Linked DNA regions of Mus musculus: regions 1, 2, 3, 5, 6 and 7 are each reported to be linked to region 4. Evidence: microRNA targets listed by miRTarBase, many of them from high-throughput screens and not tested one by one. Region 4 holds a microRNA gene; each other region holds the end of a gene's coding sequence.
What was found. The annotated mature microRNA mmu-miR-344d-3p reads GAUAUAACCACUGCCAGACUGA and lies in region 4 at 1,467-1,488, opposite strand. An mRNA with a match to its seed (bases 2 to 7 or 8) in the 3' UTR can be bound and repressed. Matches are read on the target gene's strand: a 7mer-m8 pairs with bases 2 to 8, a 7mer-A1 pairs with bases 2 to 7 and ends in A, and an 8mer does both.

Region 1: miRTarBase lists Lrrtm2 as a target of mmu-miR-344d-3p. Seed matches in the 3' UTR shown: 7mer-A1 at 3,523-3,529, 7mer-A1 at 3,173-3,179, 7mer-m8 at 2,733-2,739 and 7mer-A1 at 664-670.
Region 2: the mRNA of Zwint is a reported target of mmu-miR-344d-3p. The part of its 3' UTR that is shown has no 7-base or 8-base seed match.
Region 3: miRTarBase lists Ocrl as a target of mmu-miR-344d-3p. Seed matches in the 3' UTR shown: 7mer-m8 at 2,721-2,727.
Region 5: miRTarBase lists Nfib as a target of mmu-miR-344d-3p. Seed matches in the 3' UTR shown: 7mer-A1 at 984-990.
Region 6: miRTarBase lists Prrx1 as a target of mmu-miR-344d-3p. Seed matches in the 3' UTR shown: 7mer-A1 at 2,410-2,416, 7mer-A1 at 2,381-2,387 and 7mer-A1 at 2,372-2,378.
Region 7: the mRNA of Map1a is a reported target of mmu-miR-344d-3p. Seed matches in the 3' UTR shown: 7mer-A1 at 2,984-2,990.

The regions. Positions count from the first base shown.
Region 1 is chr18:35,208,905-35,212,973 of GRCm38, forward strand. Lrrtm2 (leucine rich repeat transmembrane neuronal 2) reads right to left here. Exons shown (of 2, transcript NM_178005.4): 2 at 99-4,069. The coding sequence ends at 3,796. The region is part of intron 7 of Ctnna1 (catenin (cadherin associated protein), alpha 1); the gene reads left to right. Among named protein-coding and RNA genes, the nearest start is that of Lrrtm2, 4.1 kb to the right of the region's middle.
Region 2 is chr10:72,657,072-72,661,128 of GRCm38, reverse strand. It overlaps Zwint (ZW10 interactor), which reads right to left. Exons shown (of 8, transcript NM_001293683.1): 6 at 3,944-4,057; 7 at 3,741-3,863. The coding sequence ends at 3,743. Among named protein-coding and RNA genes, the nearest start is that of Zwint, 4.3 kb to the right of the region's middle.
Region 3 is chrX:47,963,020-47,967,088 of GRCm38, forward strand. It overlaps Ocrl (OCRL, inositol polyphosphate-5-phosphatase), which reads left to right. Exons shown (of 24, transcript NM_177215.3): 23 at 122-233; 24 at 441-2,849. The coding sequence ends at 565. Among named protein-coding and RNA genes, the nearest start is that of Ocrl, 53 kb to the left of the region's middle.
Region 4 is chr7:61,683,813-61,687,881 of GRCm38, forward strand. Mir344d-2 (microRNA 344d-2) reads right to left here and starts at 1,539; the gene lies at 1,460-1,539.
Region 5 is chr4:82,293,120-82,297,188 of GRCm38, reverse strand. It overlaps Nfib (nuclear factor I/B), which reads left to right. Exons shown (of 12, transcript NM_001113209.2): 12 at 378-4,069. The coding sequence ends at 507. Among named protein-coding and RNA genes, the nearest start is that of Nfib, 210 kb to the left of the region's middle.
Region 6 is chr1:163,245,004-163,249,061 of GRCm38, forward strand. It overlaps Prrx1 (paired related homeobox 1), which reads right to left. Exons shown (of 4, transcript NM_011127.2): 4 at 116-3,393. The coding sequence ends at 3,255. Among named protein-coding and RNA genes, the nearest start is that of Gm20471, 33 kb to the right of the region's middle.
Region 7 is chr2:121,307,797-121,311,865 of GRCm38, forward strand. It overlaps Map1a (microtubule-associated protein 1 A), which reads left to right. Exons shown (of 7, transcript NM_032393.2): 7 at 136-3,036. The coding sequence ends at 291. Ppip5k1 (diphosphoinositol pentakisphosphate kinase 1) reads right to left here. Exons shown (of 30, transcript NM_178795.4): 30 at 2,765-4,069. The coding sequence ends at 3,860. Among named protein-coding and RNA genes, the nearest start is that of Map1a, 20 kb to the left of the region's middle.

The DNA of each region.
Region 1 (4,069 bases), not on the chromosome of region 4:
GCTGTTCATTTGACTTCTGTCACAAATGCCTATTTGGGTTTCTCCTGTCAGCACTTGCAGGTTTCAGGAGAAAATTATAAACAAAGGAGACATTCGGGTTTTTTTTACAGTATACACAATTTTAATAACAAAACTTTTCTGTACACTGTACTATAGTCCCACCAACCCAATTCCTTGTATAATAGTATTTTCTTCCTATCCCCCAACAACCCTCCCCCCATGGCTCTAAAAGGTAATTGAACAAATGTGTTTGGACTGTTCTTTGAGTTTGCAGTCTCAGTGTTCACAGGTTCACCAAATATTCCATGTATCATACTGATTTTAAAACTGAAGGAAGAAAAGATTAGTTCAAGAAGTTGGAGATGTTTCCAAATGTCTGCAATGGCAGAATGAAAGGGTGAATGGTCGTTTTCTGGTTTTGGCCTTATTCGGGCGCTATGAGTTTGCCCCAGGATAGCCAAAGAAATGCTTATCTATAGATGGCCCATATTATCATTTTAAAAACATCTTTTCTGATTCAAGCATTTTAACTGAGAATATATGAAAATTATGTCCAAAACATACTTGAGATAGTGCTGTTACTGGATTGCTGTATTAGGAAAATTATCATGTAATTTAACTGTTAAAATAGTCCTAAAAATTATCTATTTATTTATATATATATATATAATAGAGAGAGGGGAAATTTTTAGCTCCACCCTTACATAGCTATGTGTAGAAAGTATGACTTAAGAAAATAATAAAACTTTGATATCTCAGAATTCAGACTAGTGCTACATAGAGCTTGCTTTTACTGGAAAGATGGAGTTTAGCTTTTGGTGACTAGCATTATAATAAGCAGATGGGTTTTAATAATTAGTGTGGAATTAGGAAGTTTAGTCAATTCCATTCATTGAATTAGTACAGAAATTAACTTTGACTCATTAAGAAATTACATGTGGTAATACAATTTTTTTTGGCTTAAAAATAGTGTTTGTTTTTTGATGCCAGTAATATGAGTTTTGTGTGATTTTTTTTTTTTTATTTAAAGATTTACCAGCCCACTCTTTTTAGAAAGGTAAGCTTGAATTCCCTGTAGGCTACAAAAATAAGTAACTGTAGTTGCAAACTAATTTTAAATTCCTAGCTACATTTCATTTTTCTGAGAAATTATTTTCTGATTTTTCACTAGATTTTAAAATGGGGGAGAGGGAAAGTTGAGTGGTAATGCTTAAGAGATAAAACCCCACCCAAAGCCCTCACTTTTATGACTAGGAACCATATATGGTTTTGCTACTCTGGCCAGTTGGTAGCACAGATACTGCAATACAAATACATATCAACTAAATGCAGCCTTGTTTTCTGTAGGCAGTTAGAAATGGCAATCTGTGCTTTAACTGAGAAAGGAAAATACCTGGTTGGCACTACCATTACCAAAAATGTAGGAGGAAAAAATATGCCCCTCCCCCCTCCCTAGTAGTTTGCCTTGATGGCTCTTGGCACTGTTCTCCCTCGGATGCTAAGTGGCTTGCTCTGCTACTTACAGTCCACTTTACTAATTCTTTAGGATTAATTGGAGCTCCTAGTTACTATTTCTTACTTTTTAATTCACAGTTTAAATTAATTTTGCTTGTGATTTGAAATGATGAAAACCACTCATCGTTTAGGGCCGATGGAGTCTTCTTGCATGCTCAAAACTGAATTGTGAACAAGCTGTCCATCACCTGGCAAACGGCAGTGGTCACCATGATAAATGAGTTGTTAAATCCTAGACCACGGAGCTCATTTGTAATAGGGCTTCTGATGCAGCTCCTCGGTGGGGAAGCAGTGTGCTGTGCTCTGTGCTGGAAAGCCAGCATCTGTCTCAGCTCAGACGAACCGAGCTTCTGCTGTATCAGGAGAGGGAATGCTTGCCACTCAAGATCAGCCGAACCGGGATGCTCTGAGGCTTTGCTAGACTGATCACCCAGCATAAGAAATACAAAGAGCATATTTCACTGAAGCCTGACTATTATCTTCTTTTTGTTAAGAGATTTGAAATGTGGGTATATTTTTCAGTGCTAAAGGAAAACAATTATGATTGAATCTAGGTCTATAGTAACGTTTTCAGTCCAATCATGGGGAGAGAATAAGTCTTGAATGCAGGATACTGTGTTAGAGTAGTGACTTTCGTTATGGACTTACATATTTTTCCACATAAAAATGCTTCTTTTCTTTTCCTTTCTGAAATCAAAGTAATGATTTTCTGTTTTCTCCTATATGTGGAGCCATCTTTGTAGAAAAAAAATTCTATGTGAATTGGTAACTTGAGTCTAATTCCCCAGTATGCCATCATTTGCCTTAAAGAAGTCAGAATTGAACACTTGTGGTTCTTCATGAAAAATGTGGCATCATTATCAATTGTTACTGTGATTAGAGTGTTCGTATTTACACTGTAGAGTCTCCTTCCACACCATACAGATCCCTGAGCATCACTTATTTGGTGCAAATTGTACATGATCACGTTTGCTGCCTAGTTACTTCCACTAACCTGAGAGCCACACTCAAAGTCTTTCCCTGGGCTTAACCCCTCACACTCACTCTGCCTTCACTTGCTGCTGTGTGACGGCAGGGCAATGCCAGGAGTTCTGCCTTAAGGTTTGCCTCGGAAATTGGTCCTGTCTCAGAAGGAGCTACTCATATAAATGCGTATCTTTATTAAAGGGCAAGCTTTACCATCATATTTTGAAAGTAATTTTTTTGTGTTTTTTATAATATAACAAGAATCAGGGTTAGGCACCTTTAGTAGCCAATTATTTTTAATTTGGATCTTTGAAGTTTAAAGATCAGAAAAAGGCAGAAGGAAGAGGCTTAAACAGTTTGTCAAGGCATCTTTAATCATGAGAGGGGATGTATTTTCAAACTGGATGGAGTATATCAGGATTGTTAAGTTGACTCAGTTTTTCTCTTTCCCAAATGCAAATTTTTACATAATAGAGGATTTAGTAAGTTAATTAGTAAAATGGAATTTAATACTAGTTTAAAATAATAGGCTAAATGCCACAAAAATCAGCATGTCCATTATAAGTCAAACTAGAGTTGTATAAGAAGTCAGCATAGTTATTTAGTATTGATTTATTATAATGAGATCTTTTTATAATTGCTTGGATTTATTGTTGAAATATATTAAAGAGTCACCCAGTTTTATTAGAGTTATATAAAAGGTGCTGGTTTCATGATGTAACTTAGATAATGTTTATTAAGCCAAGCCAAACTGAAAGAATAACGTTTAATATTTACCAGTCTTAAGCACACATGTAAGTCTACTTCTTATACTGGCAGTAAATTATAATTTGAGTAAATACCACATTATCTTACAAGAGAACTTTGCTGTCTCCTTCTTAAGTAGGAAGCCAGTTGTGGTCCATAGGATGGAGAATAATAATCAAACAGGTTTTTGTCCCTACCTATATTTGTTTAGTAGCATCTTTTGGAACTGTTTTCAGTAAAAAAAAAAACCAAAAAACATATGGAGACCTTAGCGCAAATGTTTACATACAGTTGTATATAATTACATACATGAAATGTTTTATATTGAAGTAAGCATTTAGACTTTCCAACAAGAGTGCAAATTAATGTGAGCATTGCTTCACTTAACACTTAAAATATGTTTTCATTAAAAAATTAAAAATACTTTAACACTTCAAAAACTCAAGTCTCCACTTGGTTTGGAAAATTAGGCTTAATGTCACCATTGGTAAAAATTAGATATGTATTTAGCCCCTACTATGTAAAATAGGTTACTTATCTGATGTGATTTTTGATGATGGGTAGATATTATACTTCACATTCTTTGTATGGCAGCTGCTGACACTTGCACTGTCCATAACCATTAATGATGATGAAAGGTCCTTCATGGGTGGGTTCATACTCATTATACGGTCCTTGGTCTGACATGTTTGACATATGGAGTCGTGTTTGGGATCGGAGCTGCCTGTGGTTCTGAATCATTGAGCACTGCCTAATTCTTCTCAAAGTGGGAGGGCAGCACTTCCTGGAAATGAACACTATAAAAATAATAAAAAAGAAAGAAAACAATAAAGCCATTGTT
Region 2 (4,057 bases), not on the chromosome of region 4:
GCATTCATCTCAGAAATGGTAGAGGACTAACAGTGAAACAAGAATTCCCATTTTCAAAGATAGTAGGGATTTCTAATGCTATGATTGATAATTTAGTGTACTTTTGGGTACCTAAGTTTGGAAGAAAAAATTTATAAAATAACAATCTCTTGATAAAACATATGACCCTATACAGTAACGAAAAGGCATATATTTTTTACCTACAAAATATTGCCTAAAATTTCAAATATTAAAAATATATGCCAAAGGAAAGAAAATAACAAATAATGATTGGGTTAAAAAAAAAAAAGAGCAGTGAAAAAGGCCAAACTCTGAGGTATTCTGTCATTTCTCTTATTACTTTATGGAGCTGTGAATTAGATGTAGAGCCTTACAGCATCAGCTGTACCCGCAGCCTAAAGCTAGAGCTTGGAAAGACAAACAAAGCAAAAGCCTTCTGGGAAATACTAATGAGAAGAGAAAAAACCATCCAACAACAAAAATACCAACTAGGATGCATACAGATGTAAGGAATGTCAAAAATGCATACTTTAAATGTTTTACAAGTTACACACTGGTTTACACAAGATACCATGAGCCACTAGCACAGTCCTTTCAGCTGTGTATGAAGCAAAACATACTGCCAAAAACAAAGGTAGGGTTACTCAAACATAAACAAATGAGACCATGCAAAAAGGCAGTGTGTCAATGAGCTGAAGTTGCAAACTAGTAACCTAGCCAACAAAGAAGACAAAACTGCTGTGAGCATCACTCTTAAGACAGAAAAACAAGTAAATGCACTCTATACTAGGCTCCAATATAATATCTTAAAATGGAAATTAAAATTCCAAAGTCAAGAAGCAGATGACTGAATCATGGATAGCAACATAAAATTACGACAGTTAGGAAAACTAAAATTTGGGCTGGAGAGACGGCTCAGAGGTTAAGAGCACTGACTGCTCTTCTGGAAGTCCTGAGTTCAATTCCCAGCAACCACATGGTGGCTCACAGCCATCTGTAATGGGATCTGATGCCTTCTTCTGGTGTGTCAGCTACAGTATGTACATAAAATAAATAAATAAATATTAAAAAAGAAAAAAGAAAACTAAAATTCCATGTAGAAGGAATACAACTTTTAAAAATTAAAAAAAAATATTTAAAAAGGTAACTGATCGGACTGCTCCTTTAGAATAACCCAACAGTGTGGACGTTAAAGAGACAAGGCTGAGAATATTCTAGAATTGTTGATAAAAGCATATTCTCAACTATTTACAACATAATAAAACGATAGAATGGAAAAAGGGATTGTGAGCAGCCAGGGAGAGTAGGAACCTATGGGTAAGATCTGGCAGTCTACTGTATAGCGCAGGCACCAGGACAAGTTGGTTTACTGTACTCTAAAACCTGCTGAGTGCATCTTTCATAGTCTCAGTGCAGGAAAGTATGTGAAGAAACACATTATTATGCTTAATTTAATCATTTCATAGCATATTCAAGCATCAAAACATGTTGTATACCTTAATACTATATATATCCTGTTTTTCTATTTTACTTTCATAAAGCTAGAAAACAGAAAAGTATACCACAGAAAGAGCTGTGAAGTGTATCGCTGATTCCTCAGAGGAAACAATGAGAGTCAGAAACGCACCTTGAGGATGAAACAAAAGTCTTTTCATACTATAAAGTCTTTTGTGCTCTGGCGATTTGAATGGGAATGGGCCCCAATGGCTCACATGTTTGAATGTTTGGTCTCTAGTTGGTGGCACTGTTTTGGAAGGATTAGGTGTGGCCCTCTGGAGGTGTGACACTGTGGGTAGGGTATGAGGTTTCAAAGCCCAGGCTAGTTGCCCCAGTCTCTCCTCTCTCTGCCCGCTGCAATGTGGGCTAGATGTAAGCCCTCATTATTGCTCCAGTGCCATGCCTGCCTGCCTGCTTGCTCTCGTTCTCCCTGGCGTACACAATGTGCATGAACTCACCCTCTGAAACCTTACCAAGCCTTATGTTACATGCTTTTTTGTTTTATAAGTTGCTTTGATCATGGAGTCTCTTTACACCAATAGAAAAGTAATAAAGACTAATTTCTAAAGGAAATTATGAAACATTTCCTTATGATGAAGTTACTGTATAGGAAAGCAATGCAATGTAAAATCAAGAGAGGGGAAATTCAAAATCCACATGCAGATATGAATATAGCATTGAATGGCTACAATTTTAATACGTGAGAATATAAAGGATAGAAGTAGTAGAATGAACAACTGTATTAGCTAAAGGTAGGGTGCTGTATCGATGGTAATGCGTTCCAGGGTTCATTCTGTGCTTAAGAAAAGGCTCAATGTCCTTCACATATAACTTTAGGCTAATAATAGCTGAACTTACAGAGAAGACCTTCTTAGGAATGAAAAGGATGAAAGAAATACCAACCAAACAACACATTAAAGCGAAGGCACTAAGAATACCAAAACATAGAAATTACAGTAAAATGGCACAAACATCAAATCCTTTTCATTACAGAACTGAGAACTATGAAATCTTAAAGATTCCTTAAAGTATTACTGAACCCAATCTGTAAACAGTGGCCCTAAACATGCATACAACTGACAGACATAAGGACTAAGTAAGACTAAAACTCAAGGTTGAAATCAAGGCAAAGGTAAGCAAGGGAACTGCAGAGGTTATATTAATATTAAAATGCTGTATTTCTAGTCAAAGGCATTTCTGTGGACATAAAGTGGCCAACAGAACCATGAGTACATTAAGGGCCACAGCTGAAAACTTGAACCCACTTCTCTCAGACCTCAACAAAACAAGTACATTAAAGACATAAGTAGAAAAAAGGAACAATCACAATCCAAAGGAAAATAAATGTCACACAATTCTAAAATAAGAAATGTTTAACAAAGACTACATTGAGGCTACAACTATTTTCCCTGTCTAATCAAAAATAGCAATTATTACAAATGACATTCTCTAAAAATACATGGTTCTGGCAGGCTTTGCCCTCTCCGCTCCCTTCCCTCTGCCTTGCTAAAAAAAAAAAAACAAAAAAAAAAACAAAAACAAAAAAACAAAAAACATTAAACTACATTAAAAAACATTAAAGCTAGCCACTGGAGGTCTATTCCCTTATTTGGCCACTTCCTCCTCCTGAGGCTGGTGCACAAGATCCAGCCATCAAAGTATTCAAGTCCAGCAATCAAAGGCTCCCTTTGGCTTATCTAATTAAGATACCCAATCAAAATATACAACCCCCACCCCCACCCCCACATCCTAACCCATTTTAACCCAAACCAACCCCTCACTTTTCTCTTCTTAAAAACTATACCTGTGAGGTCATTTGCTGCTGTTTTCCTGCCTGTGTCAGAAAGCAGACACTAACTTTTCTTCCCTGCTTAATAAAGAATCTCTGTGACAACACGTGCTTGAGTATGGTTTGTACCTAATCTGGGGTCTGAAAATCTTAACCATCCTGTTCTTTCCACTTTTTCAGTTCCTCGGATCTAGAGTTCAGAGGGCGAGGATTTCCGTCTTGGCAGCTCAAGCACATCACATTCTGAGTTGGCTTCTGTCCGCTGCAGGATCTTGTGCATACAGCTATCACCCAGAGAGCTATCAATGGAGGGTGTCCGCCCGCAGGGAGTAAGATCAAGTTCCCAGCTCCTCTTTCAATCTTGTCAAGTGGACACTGATCTCTCCCCACAGTTGCCCTGTTCTTCTCTGCTTGGGGACGAGGGGAGGGTGGTTACTCAACTGACAGGGCTTACCTTTAAGGAGATTTGGATTTGGCTGTAAGGGCTCGCCCTTTCACATCTTTGTCCTCAGCCTTGCCCTCAGAGATGACCAGCTTATTCTGCAGCGAACACAGCAGCTGGAGGTAGCTCTGGTTCCTAGAGGGACAGAGTTTGTGGGAAGTGACAGGAGTCTTGGGTACACTGCCTGAGGCTTCAACCCAGGATTCAAACCTCACCTCTGCAGCTTCTCCTGTTCCTGCCCCGCTTGCTGCTTCAAGGTTTCCAGTTCCTGATGGGATCCGTCAAGCTTCTCCAGAGCCCTCTTCCGGCGCCTCTTGACCTCTGCAGAA
Region 3 (4,069 bases), not on the chromosome of region 4:
GGGTAGTGACAGACAAATGGGGCTTCTAACAGTTGGGTTACAAATTGTTCTTATGGCAGCTTTGGAGTCTCATTCCCTATGAGCCATTTAACCTTCTTACACACTCGTCTCTAAAAAACAGGTCATTTCCCAGCTTCCAAGGTGCCATAGAAATGTTTTCCGCTACTTGATGGCATTCCTTCGTGAACTCTTAAAATTCTCTGACTACAACAATATCAACACCAACATGATTGGTAAGGGGGCTTCATGAGAGAGTCTGTGCAGAGTGCTTGTTGGACAGAATCTGGATGCATTGTGCATAATGTGTACCATATTTGATTTTTGGGAACATGGCAGTCCCTTCCCTCCTGCTGTTCTTGTTCCCTGCACCCCGAGCCTTGAGGTTTTGCTTAGGTAATGTCTGACAGTGGGCTTCCCCTTTTCTTTCTTCCACCCTCTAGCTACCCTGTTCAGTAGCCTTCTCCTAAGACCTCCACCAAACCTCATGACAAGACAGACTCCAAATGACCGCCAGCATGCCATCCAGTTCCTCTTGGTCTTCCTGCTTGGGAACGAGGAAGACTAAGTCTTTTCCTATCCGAGATTCTAGAGGAGGAAGACCTTGGGCTCCGACTACTTCAAAATGATCTGAAAAGTTATCACACAAAAAGGGTCTACTGTAGGATCTTACATTCTGTTAGTAGTACAAAGGGAAGAGTTTTCCTAATCCTTCCTTACCATATCCTACACAGCAAAATCCTTTTAGACATATATTGCCAAGCCAAAGTTACCATATTTCGGTGTTTTTGTGTTTACTCTTTGTAAAGCAAAGAGGTCTGTATTTACACACCTTTACCTAGGGGTATGTTTTCTGCCCTGCTTCCCAGTCCTCATGATTATCTTTAATACCCTAGGCCTGGATTGAGAGGCCTTCCTGTTCTAAGCCTACAAGTACTACTTGCTATAGCTCAGACTTGTCTACAGTTCTTTGTATGATGCACTTTGGACCCACCCTCTCCTCATGTCACTACTTTGCACACTTCCTCCATGCTCTCACTTTGAAGGAAGCCTGGATGAGGCTAGTGACTCTGTGGGTGTCCTGAACAGTGAAGTTCACTGTCTCCATGTGATTGTTACAAGCGTTTGTGCAGTTCTACTACAATGATATCTGTATGTCACTGTAATGTTGGCCTTCGTGGGGAACCACACTTGGTGGAGCCCGATTCCCTTGTCTCAGACCATGGTTAGTTACATAATTTTATGGACTATAGAGATGGCGTCCCACTGATGTGAGAAACATCACAACAGCGAGGAAAGCACTGTGAGTATATCAGAATGAAAACATCCCTGCTTCCCAGTCCCCGTGCCCGGCTACTATCCACACTTGACATGCGGAGCAATCCTGCATGTTGGTCCCCATCTCCCCCACTAGAAACCCACTTCCAGAGTCATGTTTGCATCACAGTCAAAAGAGAAGTCTGTGCACCTCAAGTGAGGTCCCAGGAGCTTTCCTCGCCCTCCAAACCAAGCATTGAGGGTAACCCTCAGAACCCATTCTCCTATCTCCTAAAGTGTCGGGGAAAGTTACTGGCCTCTCTCAACAGGGCTCACTCTGAGCTCCACATCCGCCTCCTTCAAGCAAAGACTTAAAAAGACTGCCCTTGACTCCTTGACACTATATCAAGTGCTGTGTAAGAGAGACTGGTCCGTGGGACCAGCCACACACATTACCTCTTCCACTTGAAATGACTCTAAGGTTTTCATTTTATTCAAGCTTTGTGGGACAGACAAACTTTTTAAAAATTACTTTGTTGACTGACAAACCAGCTGCCAGCTTCTGGCTGCAAAACTGCCTGGTGAAATTGACTTGCTTGGTTTCATTCACCAAACCAACCCAAGTCGTGTCATTCTTGCCTATTAACATCTGATGTAAGGCGCTCATATAGGCTGTGTGTACAATCTTGGGCACTGATTCCATCAGTAGTATCTTGTACCATCCAAGGAGAGGGCCAGGAAAACATCCACCATCAAATGGTTTTCCAGCTCCCTCATCTCTTCAAAATTGAGTTCTTGGGAGAACAAAAGGTATGTATCCTGCAGTAGTTAAGCCCTTAAATAATTGGGAGTTGGGAAATCGGAATCAAAGTATTGGTGCCAGCTCACTGAAGATCTGATTGGGTCAACAGTTGATTAGTGGAAGACGGAGAGCAGAAGAATTTTGTCATATCTATTAGGCCAGAAAGTAATCACTGAAGAAGCAGATGGTAGGAGCTGGAGCAAGGTGGTCCACAGGGGAATGCCTCTCCTGTGCCCATTTTATAATACCTCGCCAAGCTTGGGTCTTTAGATGAGCAAGATTATGGTTAGTGGGGGCTCTGTGGAGCATGCACGTAGTGCCCTTCCTTCATCAGGCCAAAGCACCAAGTTGCTTCACTGCCTCGGCCTTTTGTCCAGCTCAGCCTGGGATGTCTATAGGGTTGAGGGTTTTAGACAATCTCTAGGAAAGGGATACAAAACAGATCCGATGGAAGAAACCTACTTCCCTATCCTGCCTATCCTGCCCCTCAACCTCTTCATTCCTAATTCCTCCAAGGTACTATTTCATAGTTGCTCTGAATTAAGGATTTCAGGTTTAACTGGTAGTGAAAGACTGCACCTAGCATCTTCGGGAAGAAATGATTCCAGTCTATTGGCTGATACTACATTAGTTTCCCTTTCTGATTCTTAATCTGTAGTTCTTTGTTATATTTCACAAAAAAAAAAAATGTCTCGGTCACTACGCAAAGCTGCTAGTGGGGTTCTGTATTTTGTGTCATCTTTTTTATTATAATTTATTGCAATTTTATGAATAAATATATGTTGTGTGAAAACTCATTGTGATCTGACTGAGAACTGAAGAGGGGAGATTTAATATCACTTGGACTCACTTGACATTTTTGTAGGCCCCACCCAACCATACCTGTACCTGTCACTACTGAGCCTACAGAGAAATACCATTTAAAATTGTTGTGCTGGGGCTGTAGCTCCATTCTAGAGCGCTTACTTAGCATGCACAAAGCCTTGGATTTGATTCTCAGCACCAGGACCAAAAAAAAAAGAGTGTTTTCCTGGGCTGGTAAGATGATTCCATGGGCTAGTGTCCTGAGTTCAATTCCCAGAAGCCACATGGTAGGAGGGAACCGACTCCAGAAAGTTGTCATCTAATCTACACATGTGTTGTGACATGGCCACATAAATAAAATGGGGACTAGAGTGATGGCTCAGCAGTTAGGAGCACATATTGATTAGTTTTGGTTCTCAGCACCCACATCTGGCAGATCACAACTGCTATAACTCTATGTCCAGGGGAGCCAAGAGCCCACACACATATGGTGCATGTATAAGAAGCCATGTATTTTATGAGACTAATAAAGAAGTTGTGTACTTTCAAGCCAGCAAAATCATTTCAGGCAACAGTGAGTTCATCAAAAGAAAGTCTTGCTTTTGGGGGTGGGTGGGTGGAATGGGATTTGTAATGGAATCTTACTTTGTTGCTGAGGCTGGTTTTGAACTCAATCAATGATCCTGGCCCAGCCTCCCTTGTAGCTAGGGCTATAGCCACACACCATCTTGCCTGGTTGAATACTGGTTCTTTTTTTTTAATTTTTTATTAGATATTTTCTTAATTTACTTCAAATGTTATGCCCTTTCCTCAATTCCCCTCCAAAACTCCCTATCCCATCCTCCCTCCCCCTGTTCACCAACCCACCCACTCCCTCCTCCCTGCCCTCAAATTCCCCTACACTGGGGCATTGAGCCGTCACAGGACCAAGAGCCTCTTCTCCCATTGATGCCAGATAAGACTGTCCTCTGCTACATATTATGCAGCTGAAGCCATGAGTCCCACCATGTGTTTTCTTTGGTTGGTGGTTTAGTCACTGGGAGCTCTGGGGGTACTGGTTGATTCCTATTGTTGTTCCTCCTATGGGGCTGCAAACCCCTTCAGCTCCTTGGGTCCTTTCTCTAGCTCCTCCATTGGGGACCCTGTGCTCAGTCCAAAGGTTGGCTGCAAGCATCTGCATCTGTATTTGTCAGGCTCTGGCAGAGACTC
Region 4 (4,069 bases):
TGAAAACAATATTTATATGCTGTGATTATGTAAAACAAAACATTGTGTGTAGGAAAATATAATGTGTAGTTTGAAAGAAGACATGCCATTTTCTGATGCATATAGAGATTAATGTGATTTCTACTGTCAGGAATATATTATTCAAAATAATACTGGTTCATGAATATCCAGAATATATAACAGAGGCCTGCTCTCTAAAATCAGAATGAAAATAATTAGAAATCTTAGGACTCAAGATATCTACGAGTACAAGATCACAATGAAAATTACTGTATCCATTTCTTCCTTTATATTGCGTTTTAACCAGCTGGAGATGATCTGGACATGATCTATTGATTTCTGTAAAGGGTTCCGGATTCTAAAGAGCTGTTATATAGCAAAGAACTGATGTGGAAGAATATCAGCCAAGAAAATCTAGTAAAGGACAAGAGCAATAACAAAATAACAAAATAAACAACTGTCTCTTTTTTCCCCCACCCGGCAACTGTCTCTTATATATATATAGAGAGAGAGTATTAAGTGTAATCTAGAGTTGAAAACATTGTTCATGGACTGTAGATAATCAAAACCATATGTAAAGTGAAGTAAAAATTAAAGTGTGCTCATGAAGAGGACAGAGATTATTTTGATGTACATACAATTGTAATTCGTTTACTACTGTAAAGATTATCTGAAAAAAAAAGTAATACATTTCAGAAATGTCAAGGATATACAACAGTGACCTGGACTCTTAAGACAGATTCGAAATAACAGAAAAAAAATATAGGTCTCAAAGGAGTCACTAGTACAAGTTCCCCATGAAAATTTCTGTGCTCATTTCATTTCTATAGTGTATATAATACCAAGGTGGAGATCTTCAGGAGATGGATGATATATTGATTTCCCTAAAGGACCCATGACTCTCTTGAACATATAGTTAGTAATGAAGTGGCTTGGAAGAACATACATGCTCAAGATTCTAGTATATTAAATATAAAATAACACTATAAACAATGTTTCAATTGTTGAATATTCATACCATAAATAAAAACCTGCTGCCAGAATCACTGCCCTAAGGATGCTTAGTTCCTGAGTAAGGTAGTATCTGTGTCTATTAGTTACATCAAGATTTTTCAGAGACTCCATGGTGGTATGTAGCAGGCATTTGCTTCCACAGCACTTCTCACAGTGTCTAACCTAAGTTTGTGAAAATGTGAAAATTTTTCTTAGTCTCTGTCACAAGCTGAGATTGAATCTTGTATCTTCTTTGCAGAAGACATATTCCAGCATGACTGAGAAAAGTGTGTCATTCTCCAAATCTCCCATAGAGATTCTCCGAATCTCCCATAGAGCGACAGCTACAATACAAAACGACCAAAGCAATCAGTGCATTGAGGCTCTGAAATAAACAAGCACAGGCTTTGATGATTTCACTGGCGCTGTCTGCTGACAGTGACACAAGCACTCTCCCTTCTCTTTAGCACCATTCAGTCTGGCAGTGGTTATATCCAGGACCAGATAAGTCCTGGAATATAGCCAGCAACCAGACTAATGAAATCTTCCCTGGCAGACAAATTTATTTGCTCTCCTTGCTTCTGATTGATTGAGAATGTGTATTCAAATAGAGAATTGAATCAGATCCAATCAGGAGAGAAATCCCATATGTAGACATGGACATCAAGTCCTGCTGAATACTTGGAGCTCTCCGTCAGTGCTGATTCATACCTCACTGGCTCCTCTCTGGCTTCCTGGAAGGAAGCAGGGCTATTAAAAGCAGAGGGTAAAAAATGTTTTAAACATATTCATTCTACACTGACAAACATAAAAAAAAGTCACTGTGACTTTGGAAATCTTCCTATTTCTGGCTCCTTCTTCCTAGCTTTAAGTTATTTGCCAGAGATTCTCAGTTTCCTTTTCACCTGACTGTCTATCTTACAATTTTTTGCTGCCTGCTCACCCATTGTGATGTGCCTTTGTTTCCTTATCCAAATTATCTGTTGTATGCTCAGTGCATGGCTGTTCCTTGATAATTTAATGTTTATATTATATTTTCATGCTTCCACAAAGAGTTATTTTAATACTAAATTTAGTATTCTGCCCATGCCCTACTCCACCTGTACTCAGTTTGTATGAAATGCTGCAGTGTCACATAAATCTGAAAAATATTTCATTCAACTCAATTTTCAAAACTGTGTTAATATGCTGTGGTTATTGACACTCAAATATGGTATATGTGGAACTTTTAATGTGTGGATTTTCTATTCTATTTTTTTTTATTTTCATAGGCTATTTTCTTAACTTATTGGTTATCCTCCATTCCCCTTTTTTCACACAGTAACCCCTTCTCCAATACTCCACCCCTCTGTTTCTATGAGGGTGTTCTCCCACCCACCCATCAAAAATCCACCTCCCTGCATTTACATTCCCATATACTGAGGCATTGAGTCTTTTCAGGGCCAAGGTATTCTTCCCCTATTGATGCCTGACAAGACCATCCTTTGCTACATATGAGCCATGGGTCCCTACATGTATACTCTTTGGTGGGTGGTTTAGTACCTGGGAGCTCTGGAGCAGTTTGGTTGGTTGATATTGTTGTTCTTCCTATGGGGTTTCAATTCCTTAATGTGTGGTTTTAAAGAGGTCAGGGAATTTTCTGACACATATAAAGCTCTAATGTGATTTCTACTGTCAGGAATACATTAATCTAAGCAATACAGTATCAGAAATATCCAGGATATATAACAGAGACCTGATCTCTAAAGACAGAAAGAAAATAGCATTAAATCTTAAGACTCACAGTATCCTTCAGTAAAAGGTCACAATGAAAATTCCTGTGTCCATTTCTTTCTTTACATGATAAAATACTAAGTTGGCTATGATCAGAACATGATATATTGATTTCCCTGAAGAGCTCATGACTCTACTGAGTCATTAAGTAGCAAAAGACTGACCTGGAAGAAAAGCTGGCTAGGTAATCTAGTAAACTACAAGAATAATAACAGAATAAACAATGGTTTTATTGTTGAGTGTCATTGGTCATTAATGGTAGCATGCTACTGTCGTCACTGTCCCAAGGCTGCTTGAACTCTGGGTATGGTAGGATCTGTGTCTGTTAGTTACCTCTGATTTTTCTTAGACTACAAGGTAGGATGTTGAGGACGTTTGTTGTCATTGCAGTTCTCACAGTGGTTGATCTAAGGATATAAAAATATCAGAAAATCCATAGTCCTGTGTCACAAGCTGAAGCTTGAATCTTTTATCTTCTTTGCAGAAGGCATGACAAGACAAAGAAGTGACACTCAAAATCAGAGGCCTGAAATTCTATACAAAACAAGGATCTAAAGAATCAGAGCAGGAACTCTCTGAAATAATCAAGCACAGTCTTAGCACCTTTCTGCTCTCTCTGTTGCTGACATTGGCCCAAGTACCCATCTCTTTAACATGATTCAGTGTGGTTTTGGCTATATCTAGGACCAGATGAGGCCTGAAGTATATAGCCAGCAGGTTATCTGTCAAGTGTTCACCTGCAGACAACCTTTCTGTTGTTTTCCACACTTCTGATTGATTGAGAATGTGGATTCAAATAGAGAGTGGAATCAGATTCAATCAGCAGAGAGATCTCAGATCTAGGCATGGACATCAAATCCTGCAGTAACTTTAAAGATCCATTAGGTGATGCTGATTCATCTCTTGGCACCCTCCTTCATGTGTTTCCTTATGAAAGCAGAAAAATAGAAAGTGGGTGGCAGGAAAAGCTGTTTTTACAATCTTCTCACTATATTAACCCACAGAAAAATTATTCAGTGGAAACTTGGAGTGTTCATAGTTCTAGCTCCTTCTACCTAGATCCTACAAGTTTGCCTGATTTACTCTCTTTCATTTTGAGCCTTTCTGACTCTGAAAATTATCTTGCAATTTTTGCTGCATGCTGACTAATTGTGATGTGCCTGCATATCCCTCAAAATTACTTCTGTTGTATGTTCTGAGTGAAGCCTTTCCTATTACAATAATTTTAATCGTGTAACATCAAAGAGTTTTTGGAACACTAAAGGCAATATTATTACCATACTCTACTCCAGAAGTACATGGT
Region 5 (4,069 bases), not on the chromosome of region 4:
AAAAAGAGTCTCCTTAATTAACTAGAGTTCAGCAATTATATATAGTGAATATAGTTCATTTTGTGTTTTTCTGCATAGTAGTTAGGTCTTTTCATGGAAGCAAGAGATCATATAGATTACACCTGTATGATGTGTATAATCTAGAAGTTATCACATGTATGTACATATATATGTATATAAGCATAATATATATAATATAGCAAAGTCAATGCATGCTATTAATTATTAAATTTTATTAAAATTTTGGTTTAAAAAGTTAAAAATATAATAGTTGTAATTTAATGCATTTTGAATTTATATTTATGATATGGCTGGAGATTTTAACATTGTCTTATTTTTTCTTTCTTTCTTTTTTTCTTCCCGTCTCCTCTCAACAGTCCTGGTACCTGGGCTAGCTTGGTTCCTTTTCAAGTGTCAAATAGGACACCCATCTTACCGGCAAATGTCCAAAATTATGGTTTGAACATAATTGGAGAGCCTTTCCTTCAAGCGGAGACAAGCAACTGAGGGGAAAGAACCACAACCATAGTATAAGAAAATTAGGGGAAAAACACCCAACAAAGGAAAAGAGGAAGACTGGACAACAGGGAGAAAGGAGAGAAACTGAAGAAAGAAGACGGTAGACCAGCATTGCAGCACTTACAGTCACTAATTCCCTTAAGGTTGAGACTATAGTGACAGGAAAGGGTCAATGACATCTCACTGATGCTAGACTGCAGCCCCTGCACCGTAGCCTTTGTTACATGAAGTCCGCTGGGAAATAGATGTTCTGTCTCTATGACAATATATTTTAACTGACTTTCTAGATGCCTTAATATTTGCATGATAAGCTAGTTTTCTTGGTTAGTATTCTTGTTGTTTACGCATGGAGTCACTATTCCTGGTTATCTCAACAACGAAGGCTAGGAGGCGGCGTCAGAGGTGCTGGGGACAGAGCCATGAGCCAGCCATTTTATAAGCACTCTGATTTCTAAAAGTTAAAATTATATATATATATATATATATATATAAAAGAATCTCTGTAGCCTTTAGTTATCCGTACAGATTTATTAAATTTTGGCCCTTAACCCAGCCTTTTCCAGTGTGTAACCCAGTTTGAAATCTTAAAAAGGAAAAAAAAAAAAAAAGAGAAAAAAGAAAAATAGGGAAAAAAAAAACAGTTTGAACTCAAAGGCTCTATGGAAGAAATGCCTCTATGTGGGTAAAGGGTTACCTCTGCATGCAACAGTAAAAAGTAATATAATGTTTTCCCCACAAAAGAAACACTTAACAGAGGCAAGTGCAATTTATAAATTTATATCTAAAGGGGAATCATGATTATAAGTCCTTCAGCCCTTGGACTCTAAATTGAGGGGATTAAAAAGAATTTAAAATAATTTTGAGCGAATTTATTTTCCCCTCAGTTTTTGAGGGCATTTAAAATAAGGCATTAAATCAAGACAAATCATGTGCTTGAACAGAAAAAAAATAAAAAATAAAAAAAATATTGAAAACACAGCACTTAGGTTGGCTTAGCTGCAGCCTCCTCAGAGGTCAGATTATTTATTTAAAATTACTGGTTGCATCAAGAACCCATAGGGTGTACAAACGGTTCTATACAATCTGCATCGTAGAGACAAAGAGGCAGGGAAATCCATGTCACAAGGGTAAAGCTCCCCGTGTACAGGCTGGGAATGCCAGGTAGGCTAGGAAAACCCGCTCGCTCTTCAGAGAAGTGCCATCAGGGTGCTGGGAACATGCATGGTGCTTTCGGACATTAGCCTTGTTCAACACATTTCTCGTATTGACAGATCTATAGTGTGCATGGGCAGACACATGCTGCCTCTGTGTCTCTTAAAATTTTAATTAAAAGTACTCTTTCCAGTAATCCTAATTTGCACGAAGATATAATGTCCACATTACGTGCCTTGCCTTGAAATCTAAAAAAAAAAAACAAAAGACAAAAAAAAACCACAAAAGTGACATCACTACACTTGTTTTGCTGCATTTATTATCGTTTTAAATCTTTACCATTTTTATGACAAAATATTTTGTACTCCAGACGAAGAAAAATGTGTGACATCATGGATTTTTTAGACAGTTACACCTTTATCTCACATTTATAAAGCATATCATGGCTGTGTATAGTTGCCGCTTAAAAATTGTAATCGACCAGCAATATTTTCAGTATTTTTGGTGTTTTTTCTATTAACCTTTCATGTTTTTCATCTTCCAATTAATATTTGGGGGGGAGGGGTTTCAAATTTATACGAATTATGCAATACCAAGTTTTGCCTATGTAGGTAGTGCTTTTAGCTGTATTGGTTATTATAGGTAAGTACACAGATTTAAAAAAGAAATAATGTATGCTTTTTTTGTTTGTTTGTTTATTTGTTTGTTTGTTTTAATTGACCAAAGTGGGTACTGCTATTTTTGCAGTGTGATGAGGTCCTTTTGTGTACTGAGAGATGGACAGGGGATTTTTTTTAATATACATATATAAATATATATATATTCAGGGGTGGGTGGGAGGATTTTTAACCCTTTACAGTGTAGCAGTGAAGCACTGCACCCTGAGATGGGCCTGGGCTGCAAAGCAACTGTTCTGCCTACTGTGACAAACTTCAACTTAAACAGGTTTCCCTCCCTCCACCCCTCCCCGTACTTTCCCACCTGGAGTGCAAGCTGAACTCCTTTCTGGTTTCCAAGCTAAGAAACCAGGAAGAAAAAGCAAGCACAGCAAAAGCCTCCTAGAGGCCAACTTAGAGGAACTGCCCTGTCTTATTTTAGTTGTTATTGATAGTTTTTTGTTTCTTTTTTTTTTTTTTTCCTGAAAGTTCCTGAAACCACAGTGGAAAGTGAGCCTGTCTCATATTTGGCAAAGACATTTCTTGAAGTGCCCACATAGCAGATGTTGGCTGTTTCACACTTTTGAGTTTAACACAGGAATAAGCTTTCTTCTACCAAACACATTCCCCCATCTGGAGGGAGAGCTCCCCTAGTCCCTCCCCGCCCTCTGTCATTTTGTTAATGACAGGATAGGCTGCTCCTGTGACTTACTACTTCAAAATGAATGGTGTTGCACCTAGGATCTTCTTCTTTGACATCCAGAAGGTTGACTAGAGAGAGGGTTGCTCTTCTTGGATGTATTTGGACTGATAGAGTAAAATCAAAGTTCAGTTTTTAAGGAACAAGAATAAATCAATCCTCTTATTTTACCTGCCCTTGTAAACTGGAAAGTGGAGCAGAGGGAAATATAGAATTTTAAGCAACCAATTTTTCTGTGGATGAATTAAGTGTGTTTGATAATGATGGTGGGGGTTGATTTGAACGGGTGGTACTTCAAGTATATATTTGAGTTAATTTCCCCTGAGGACTACAGGTGAATAGAGACCAATTTTATTTTGTCTTTTCCCCATCCCCCACCTGGTCCTATTGAGTGTATCCATTGCTCCAAGGAGATCTTTAGGAATTAGTGACATACGCAGTCGGCTGTAAAGAAGCTCTCTTGACCCCACCCCCAGCCCCACCCCAGGCCCTGCCCTAGTAAATAAACTGTCAAGTGTATGCATAGCAGATCATTTAATAGTGAGTTCATGAGAACGATGCTCAGAAGCCCGGGAATTAAATCTGACTAGTCCATTCATGACCACATGCTGGTTAGCACAGTGGGATTCTAGGATGCAGGTTCTAAGAAAGGCCAGCCTTGTCTGTTACTTGCTTTGCAGATAACACATCCTCTCAGCCAAGCTCATAGTGTCTTTCTGACCTATTTGCTGAAGAGTGCAACCCTACAGGACACAGTATTCTTTCCAGGCAGTCCCCTCTCCTTGTCACCCGTGAATGAACAATTGTTGCTAAAGTACATGGCACACTGTGGGCATCCCTGCCTGCCTCTTGGGTACAGAGGCCTAGGGCAACTGTTCCTTTTTTTTTTTTTTTTTTAACCTAGTTCAATGTTTCTTCTTTTCTTTGAGATAAACTTATTAAAAAAGCACTACTATAGAAAATCTCGAATCCACGTTTAGCCTTCTATTTTTTTTTAAAACCAGGAAGTATATTCTGACGAAGGGCCCCACTTTTGCAGGTC
Region 6 (4,058 bases), not on the chromosome of region 4:
TCATTCTTACTGTCATGTTTCTCAGTGTCTTCTTGAATCTAAGCAGTTCTGCCTTTTGGGAAGTTGAAAGCGAAAATAATCATCTGAGTCCAGTGTATTATAACAAAAGACATTGTATTATCACTCTTTCATTTTATTGAAAAGAAATCATTTCTATTCTAGCACAAACAATGTATATTTTACATCATAAAGCAAGATATAATTTACATATTACATTTCTTATGAGATCTTTATTACCATATGCCATTCCCTTTTTTGTAATTAGGTCATTACTTCTGGTTTAATTTAACCTCCCACGTGCTGAACTAATTGGCCTCTTCTTTGGTAAGGGAGTGTGGACATTGATAGTTCTAATGCCTTCATCTGGGTATATTGATGGAGCGCAGTAGCTATATGCCTTGAGTCTGACACTGAGACTCTCCTCTGGTAATTGACTTACAAGCTAGATATCTAACCCTCCAAACCACTTGTTAAACTTATATTCTTTCACAAAGTTTACCACAAATGAACAAAATTGAGCGTCAGTGCTTCAGGTGTATTTCCTGGTACGTGCTCAGATAAAGCTGCTGTGCTGTGGGTCTACCAGCTGCAGACATTCCTATGATTAACTAGCAGGGGTTATTCTGTGAAATTCCGCGAAGCTGCTTGTACGAAGCATCAGACACAACATCCCACTTCCTCCTTTGAGTTTATGGGATCAGGTTTGTTTGACGTCCACTGGAAATGGATGCCAGGATGAAGGTTTCAGATGACTTCCAACAACTGCCTTCCAAGATTCTGCTCTCCTTAGAAAACACTTTTCATTTATAATTTCTCTTCCTTGCCTATAATCCAAATATTTAAGCTATTCTCTACAAACGCTAAATTCCCGGTTTACCAGTCTCTTGGACCTGTACTCACTTACAAATCAAAAAACATTTTTACAATAAGGATGTACTGGTTTTTTTGAAATGTGATAACACGCAGCAATCGATGGGACAAATACATGAGTGGAGATAAAAACAAGTAATGTATATTAAGCCAGACCACATAAACTATTCTGAAAGAAATGCTTTAATAGTAGTTGTTGAGAAGGAATCACTTCATGAGATCAAAGTACACAAGATGATCTTCCTTCTTATTACTGAACAAAGTACAAAATCACTTGAAATATATTTTCAGATGGGTGCCTGTTAGACTGGGGAAAAAAAATCACCATTAACACAGCCAGATATGCCAAGGGAAGAACAAGTATGTGCTAAAAGTGAATCTTATACGCCAAATACTTTGACTGACACGCATATTGCAATGTTGACATATTTGGCCAAAATCACTCTGAAGATTTTCATTCACTGAGAACTATGGTTAATAAAATCGAGCTGTTGATGAAAATATAAGTTAAAAAATATCTCTATACTTTGTGCCTTAAATTATTCTTTGGTCAAATGATGTTATTGTTGAGATATTTGAAAATATAAACCTATTTATCATTTCCAAATAGAAGGTTATATTTATGTACAGTCAGATACCATTTCCTTACTAGAAAACAAAGCTTTCAAATACCGTGTTAATCCATGAATATTGTATGCTCTTAATGTCCCTTCTCCTTTCACGGCTACAAAGTGCTGGACAAACCAGGAACAAGGAAGGAAGGAAGGAAGGAAGGAAGGAAGGAAGGAAGGAAGGAAAGGGAGGGAGGGAGGGAAGAGGAGAGAGAGAGAGAGAGAGAGAGAGAGAGAGAGAGAGAGAGAAAACAAATGGATGTAGCCTCACAACATCCCTGTGAGGTAGGAATTGTTAAACCATTTTATAAACAGGTAAACTAGACACAGCATGGCAACGTGGTTTGGTCAAGTTCACCAGGAAAATTGCCAAAGCAAAGCTGGGAACAAAGAGAAACAAAGAAATACCAGCTCTGCCTCCCACCCTCGATGCTAAACCTCATTTCAAAACAACTAAAATGTAAGAGTATGATTGTATTTAATTTTTAAAATTTAAGCAAGGCTTTAAACACTTCACTTCAACATATTGTCTTTCATATTCCTATGAAGTAGAGAAAGAGTGCTGTCTTCCCTCACCCTTCCAACTGTATTTCTCATGATAAGTCAGATGATATAGACTTTACACTCAAGATCAGAGTCCAAACTCAAGGTCAACTCTATAGCATCAAATAATTCCTAATTTTATTAAAGCCCTAACATAAAAATGGAAGCTGTTCTCAAACAGCTGCCTGGCTAATTGCTCTCTGACCTTAATGAGGATTTTATATAGACTATGAAAACAAGATGCCGCATTAACATATAATTATTGTGTAAATAAGGGCAGTGGTGATGGCAGAGAGTTTGCTTTTATAGTTTTTGAGAAACTGCAAACTCAAGCTTTCAATATTTTATATATAATATATATAAATATATACAGCATATATATGTATATATAAAAGTGTGCATCTGACCACCTCTAAGGCACCAAAGAAATATAGACTATGCCTTTCACAACTCAGTATTTTTCTTCCTACAAAATTTTTTTCCATCTCTAAAACTGAAAGGATTTCTTCTACCAAAGAACAAGTGAAACAATTGTTTAAAAACGATGAGTATCTTTAACTTAGGATCTTTTATTGTTTGGGTTGGGTAAGGGGTAGGGTTAACGGTGACATCATAACCTAGAGCTTAGAGCTTAGAGTACACCAGACATGACCAACCACATTGATCAGACTGGTCAGTGACCAGAACATGCGTACATTTATTTTTTTCCTGTCACTGATAGAAAAACCTTACCATGACCAACATGGACACAATAATACAGATTCTTCAGAAAGACTTTGGATTTTCAAAAATCTCCTAGAGAGACTTGGAAGGAGACAGAGTAAGGCACTGAAGTCAAGCAGGTTACCGAGAAGTGATCTTTCTCATATATATATTTCTTTGGCTGCTGGAGATTTCTTTTATTCTCATACAATTATAGGAATGGGTGGGCTGAGCCTAACAGAAGAAGCCTGGAGTATAATTAGCTAAGCATGGATAGAAGGAAAACAAAATACACACACAAAAGCAAATGGTGATGGTAGGTATCCGAGAGCAAGAAGAAACATTTGTTAACTAATTTTCATTTTGTTCCTCTCCTGCTTTGCTCCGCCATGGTCCCAATATTTTAGTTCTGGCTTTGTTTGTTTGCTTTTATTTTTTTTTCCCCGGCGGATGAAGATATGACAGAACAGGATAGGTGTCTTATGGTTTTTGATTTCTTCTTAGGCCTGTTTAATTATTTTTTTTTCCTCAGTTGACTGTTGGCACCTGGTTCCTCTGTAAACTATATTCCTTGGCCTTCAGTCTCAGGTTGGCAATGCTGTTGGCCATGTTGATACCCTGTGCAGGGCTATTGTTGGCACATGTGGCAGAATAAGTAGCCATGGCGCTGTAGGGACAAAGGAGAGAGCAGGGAGAATAACAGACATTAGTTTCATGAAGCTGTAAGACCATGCCCTGGATGGATATACTCTCAGGACAGAGGCAGGCAGGGCAGTGGGGTAAAGAGAGGACCTTCGGGGTCTCTTACAGCTCCAGTTTTCAATTAGTTTAAGGTCCTTGGAAAAGGGTGTCCATCTTTTTACAGGGCATGGGGAAGCAGACAAGAATGAGACAGGGTAGGGAAAGGTTTTTGCTGTGTTGGATACAGTGAGTAATGATTTATTTCAGGGGTAAGAGGAGACTGCTCATGTCAAATAGCAGGAGTTTCATCAGCTAGTTCAGAGTCTAATCTTTCCTACCTATACCAGATAACCTGTGAAACCATCGAAGGAAAATGGCAAGCATTTGACAGTGGATAAAAAGAATTTTGCTTCTTCATTCTAGGAAATTGACCTGGACTCCAATGTATTTTGGATAATCAATAATACTATAGAAAATGATTATAGATTATAGAAATGGTTATATGTGCTTATAGAATTATTAAACAACCCATCATATTCCTCTGGCATTGTGATTCATTGGATGATTGTAACAAGCATTGTCAAGTCAAGGCTTTCCTATCAGTGGGTTTTGTTTTTAATAACTTTTCAAAGGTATTTGACTAGCACACAT
Region 7 (4,069 bases), not on the chromosome of region 4:
AGGACACAGCCCCTATTCACAAAAAGACAAGGTCCTTTGTATGGGGAGGGGGATTGTTTGAGACCATCAGTTCTCCTTCCCCCTCATCTGTCTTTCCTCCAGATTCTCACCTCAGGCATGTTTTCTTCCTCTTAGGTGACTCTGATTCCCACTCATGATACGGAGGTGACTCGTGAGTGGTATCAGCAGACACACGAGCAACAGCAGCAACTGAACGTCCTGGTCCTGGCTAGCAGCAGCACTGTGGTGATGCAGGACGAGTCCTTTCCAGCCTGCAAGATTGAGTTCTGAATGACCTGCGCTCCCTTCCCTAAGGATCCACTCCTACAGTTCATTTAGAGAATGGCTACTGCTGAGTCCTCTGGGGTTGAGGGAAGGCGAGCCGGGCAGGGGCCATGTCATGTTATTGGGACTTGGGGCTAAGTGGGAGGTCCTGTCCTTCCCCTCATCTCTTCCTGGGGTTTCAAGACCAAAGGCAATGAGGAGATACACGATTCTGAAAGGTCATCTGAAGCCTGAAACCCCTAGAGCAACCCCCTCTCCTAGCATTGCCAAATGCTGGTCTTGGTGAGGATGGGTTTCAAACAGCACACTCCTCCCGGTGGAGGAAGATTAACAACAGTCTCTCCCCCAGAACCTCATTATTTATTTATTTGGCATTCCAGAAAGGATTGCTGATAATTTAGATGATGCAGGGAAGGCCACTGTTAGTAAGGTGCCAGAGCTGCGCCCTTTCCTCCATCTGCCATGCCCTAGCCACTAGAGTCTGGGTTCCAGCAGCTACCTGGGGACATGTGGCTGCTCTATTGTCTTACTGCGTCCCACAATATCTGAATGTCTCAATCCAAAACTTGAAGCTCTTTAGACCAAGAACTAGGGAGAGGAAAAAGGAGCTCATCTCTCAGCCCCTTCTTCATAGCATTTACAGCCCCGGGCTGTACCCAGACCAGGCTACCTGGGCAGCACAAAGGGCAAGGAGAGCCCCAACCCCAGTTGCTCCAAGCTCCCCAATCACTTAGTCTTCACCTACCCCATTCCAATAAGCCTCATTTCTTCTCATCCCCTGCTTGGCTTCTCTGCATGTGGTCATCTGCTATGGCCTGGTGTGTAATGGGTTAAACAATAAGCCACTGCCTGACACCCACATCCACTTTAGCCATGTGTGACTCCCTAACATTCCAATCCTCTACCATCCTGCAGCTGAAATGGGAACACTGGCTGCCTCTCTAAACCTAAACTCTTGGATAGAGTTTCTGGGAGGTGGAGGCTGGACTAGAGAACTGGGGGAGGGGAGATGGGAGGGAGGGAGGAGGGGAAAGAAGAGAGGAAGGTGAGCTATAGCTTAACTCCTCCAGAGTGAGGAGAGGCTGAGCATTCTACTACAGGACAGGACCTCGCCCCAAGCAAGCCAGTGAGCAGCCCGGCCAGACCCTGCTGGACTGAGAGACCCAGCCGCTGACAGTCCCTGGGGCTTGCCTTCTTTGCCAAGCCAATGGGAAACCAAAAGGAGCTCACTTCCTGTTCTTCCTAGCTCCCCTCCCTGCCGCTGTGCTCCGCTCCTCCCCACACTTCCTTGCTACAGTTCCCAGCTGCTGTAACAGAGCCACCTCCACCTCTAACAATAAACCAAGTTCATTGCAGATGGTGTGGTGCTGCCTAGGCTTTCCAAGGCTCCTCCAGACAGTAAGCTATCCTGGTTTCCATCCCTCTGGTTCAGTTATCATTTATCTTGGAAGACTCTCCATTATTCAAACCCATCCCAGGACTCGGGAGAGCCAGCCTGTGTGAAAGGAGGATGAGATGAGAGAACCATCATCATTTCTGAAAAGAAGCAGGGTGTGATGGTGCATGCCTGTGATCTTAACACTCAGGGTAGAGGTGGAAGAATTAGGAGTTTGAGGGCAGCCTGGGCTATAGAAAGTTTTGGGCCAGCCTGAGCTACACAGTGAGTGAGTCCTTGTCTCAAAAAAAAAAAAAAAAAAAAAAAAAAAACAAGGGCTGGAGATAGCTTAGTGGTTAAGAACACTGGCTGCTCTTCCAGAACTCACATAGCAGTTTACAACTCTATATCTCCACTTCCTGTGGCTTCAACACCCTTTTCTGGTCCCTGTGGGCACCAGGCATACATGCAGTATATAGACTTATATTCAGGCAAAACGCCCATACACATAAAGTAAAAATTTAAGCAAGAAACAAACAAAAAAAATATAAAAATAGTCTAAAATGTGGGAGCCTGTAGCAGGAACATAAACATCTGGTTTAGAGAGTGCAATCTGCATTCTATGGGGTCAAAAGTAGTCCCTGTATTTTCCCAGAAAACTCTTAATAAATCTTTTCATTTACTGCCCAATGGATGAAAGCTACATTAAGTCCCCATAGTAAAACCCTTTGTAGTCTTAGGCATGTCATGAGTGGTCAGGTTATAAATGTGTATATGAGAAGGGAACCTTGTAGTCATCCCAGTGTCTGGAGCTTTCCTGATGTACATATGTCAACAGAGCAGAGGCCAGGCAGTGCCTCTTCCTGTCAGCTCCCGACTCACACCCCAAGGCACCAGAGAGGAAGGCATCAGAGGCTGCTGCTCAGAAACTACCCAGCATTCTGCTCAGTAAAAACACTTGGGATGGTAGACTGACCACTACAGGGACTCTTTAAAGCCAATCCCCGCTCATCTCCAGTATGTGATTGGTTCAGTCATGGACACAATGGGATTACATATTCATTCTTGAGTTCACAAAGGTCACAAAGGAGTCACACCCCCTCGTTCTCATTATTTTGTGTTTATTGAGCACTTGTCATGTTCCGGCCCCAGACTCCAATGACAACATTACCCACACCCACTCCCATCCCTAGATCTTTGGGAAAAGCTTTGTAATCACATATGGTCATAAAGACACATGATATAAGGACAAACCTCTTGGGGACCCTGGAGTGTTTGATCTTTGGCCAGTCTGTCCCTGGCAAACTACAGAAATATATATGTTTATATATATATATATATATATATATATTAAATCTTTGCTCATATCTGTACAACATTGATCTCTGCTAATTGTTTAAAATAGAACTTGATTCTCTCTATTACAGCATCTTCTAAGCCCAACAGCCCCACAACAAAAGGAGGCCTGGCTTCATAGATTGATGCAAATCTCCCAGAGCAGTCTAAGTAGTCACTCTGAAGTTGCATGGCAATCTAATATCTATTTTTCTCTTGAGCTGATGTCCACAGAAGCAGGACTAGGCAGGGGAGCACTTGGCAATTACATGGAAACACCCATGAGCTCAGTATAAACCATGAGTAGCCACAACAGATGTTTTTGAGATTGGAACTCTATTTTCCAGACATTTTAGGTGGTTCCCCTGTGCTAGCCTGTGCTAGTGAAGTTAAGAGTTTCCTTGAATGCACATATGGACTGAGGATACCCTAAAAAGCTGTGAATATTTCAGTCAACAAGAAGAGACCCTGCCACCTTCCATGTTATATCTGCTGTTCCCTCAGCACGGTATCTTCAGCAGTTAAGTGGCATTTCCTCCAAACAATCTATGATTCCCACTCCATGGCTAAGTGAAGAGCCAACAATGTCTCTGAACATCAACAGCTCCTCCGTAAGTATAAGCGCTGGCAGAAGTAAGTTCCATGCCACAAGGCCTGCTTTCTCAGATACTGCTGCTGTGAGCCCACACCTTGCGTGGGGCTCTTTCTGTGTGTTAGCCAACAGAAAGGCTGCTGGCTCAAAGAGCTGGCAGAGTGGGAAACCAACGACAAGACTACAAGTCACATGGTGCTAGTGGAGGGGTGAGTGCTGGTCATGGCCAGAGACTGGTTTTCAGTGTTTACATCACTGGGTAGACATTGAACTTAGGAGATAGCCTCAGGAGGCAGCTCATCAACCACCTCAGACTCCTGATCAATCTCCTCAGAGACCTCCTGAGCCTGCAGCTCAGTCTCCTCAGAGAGCTCTTGGGATGGTTTGTCAGCCTCAGGGATGTCTTGAGATAGCTCACTGATGGCAGGGGCCTTCTGAGCCAGCACGCCAACCTTCACAGAGAACTCCTGGTATGGATCTTC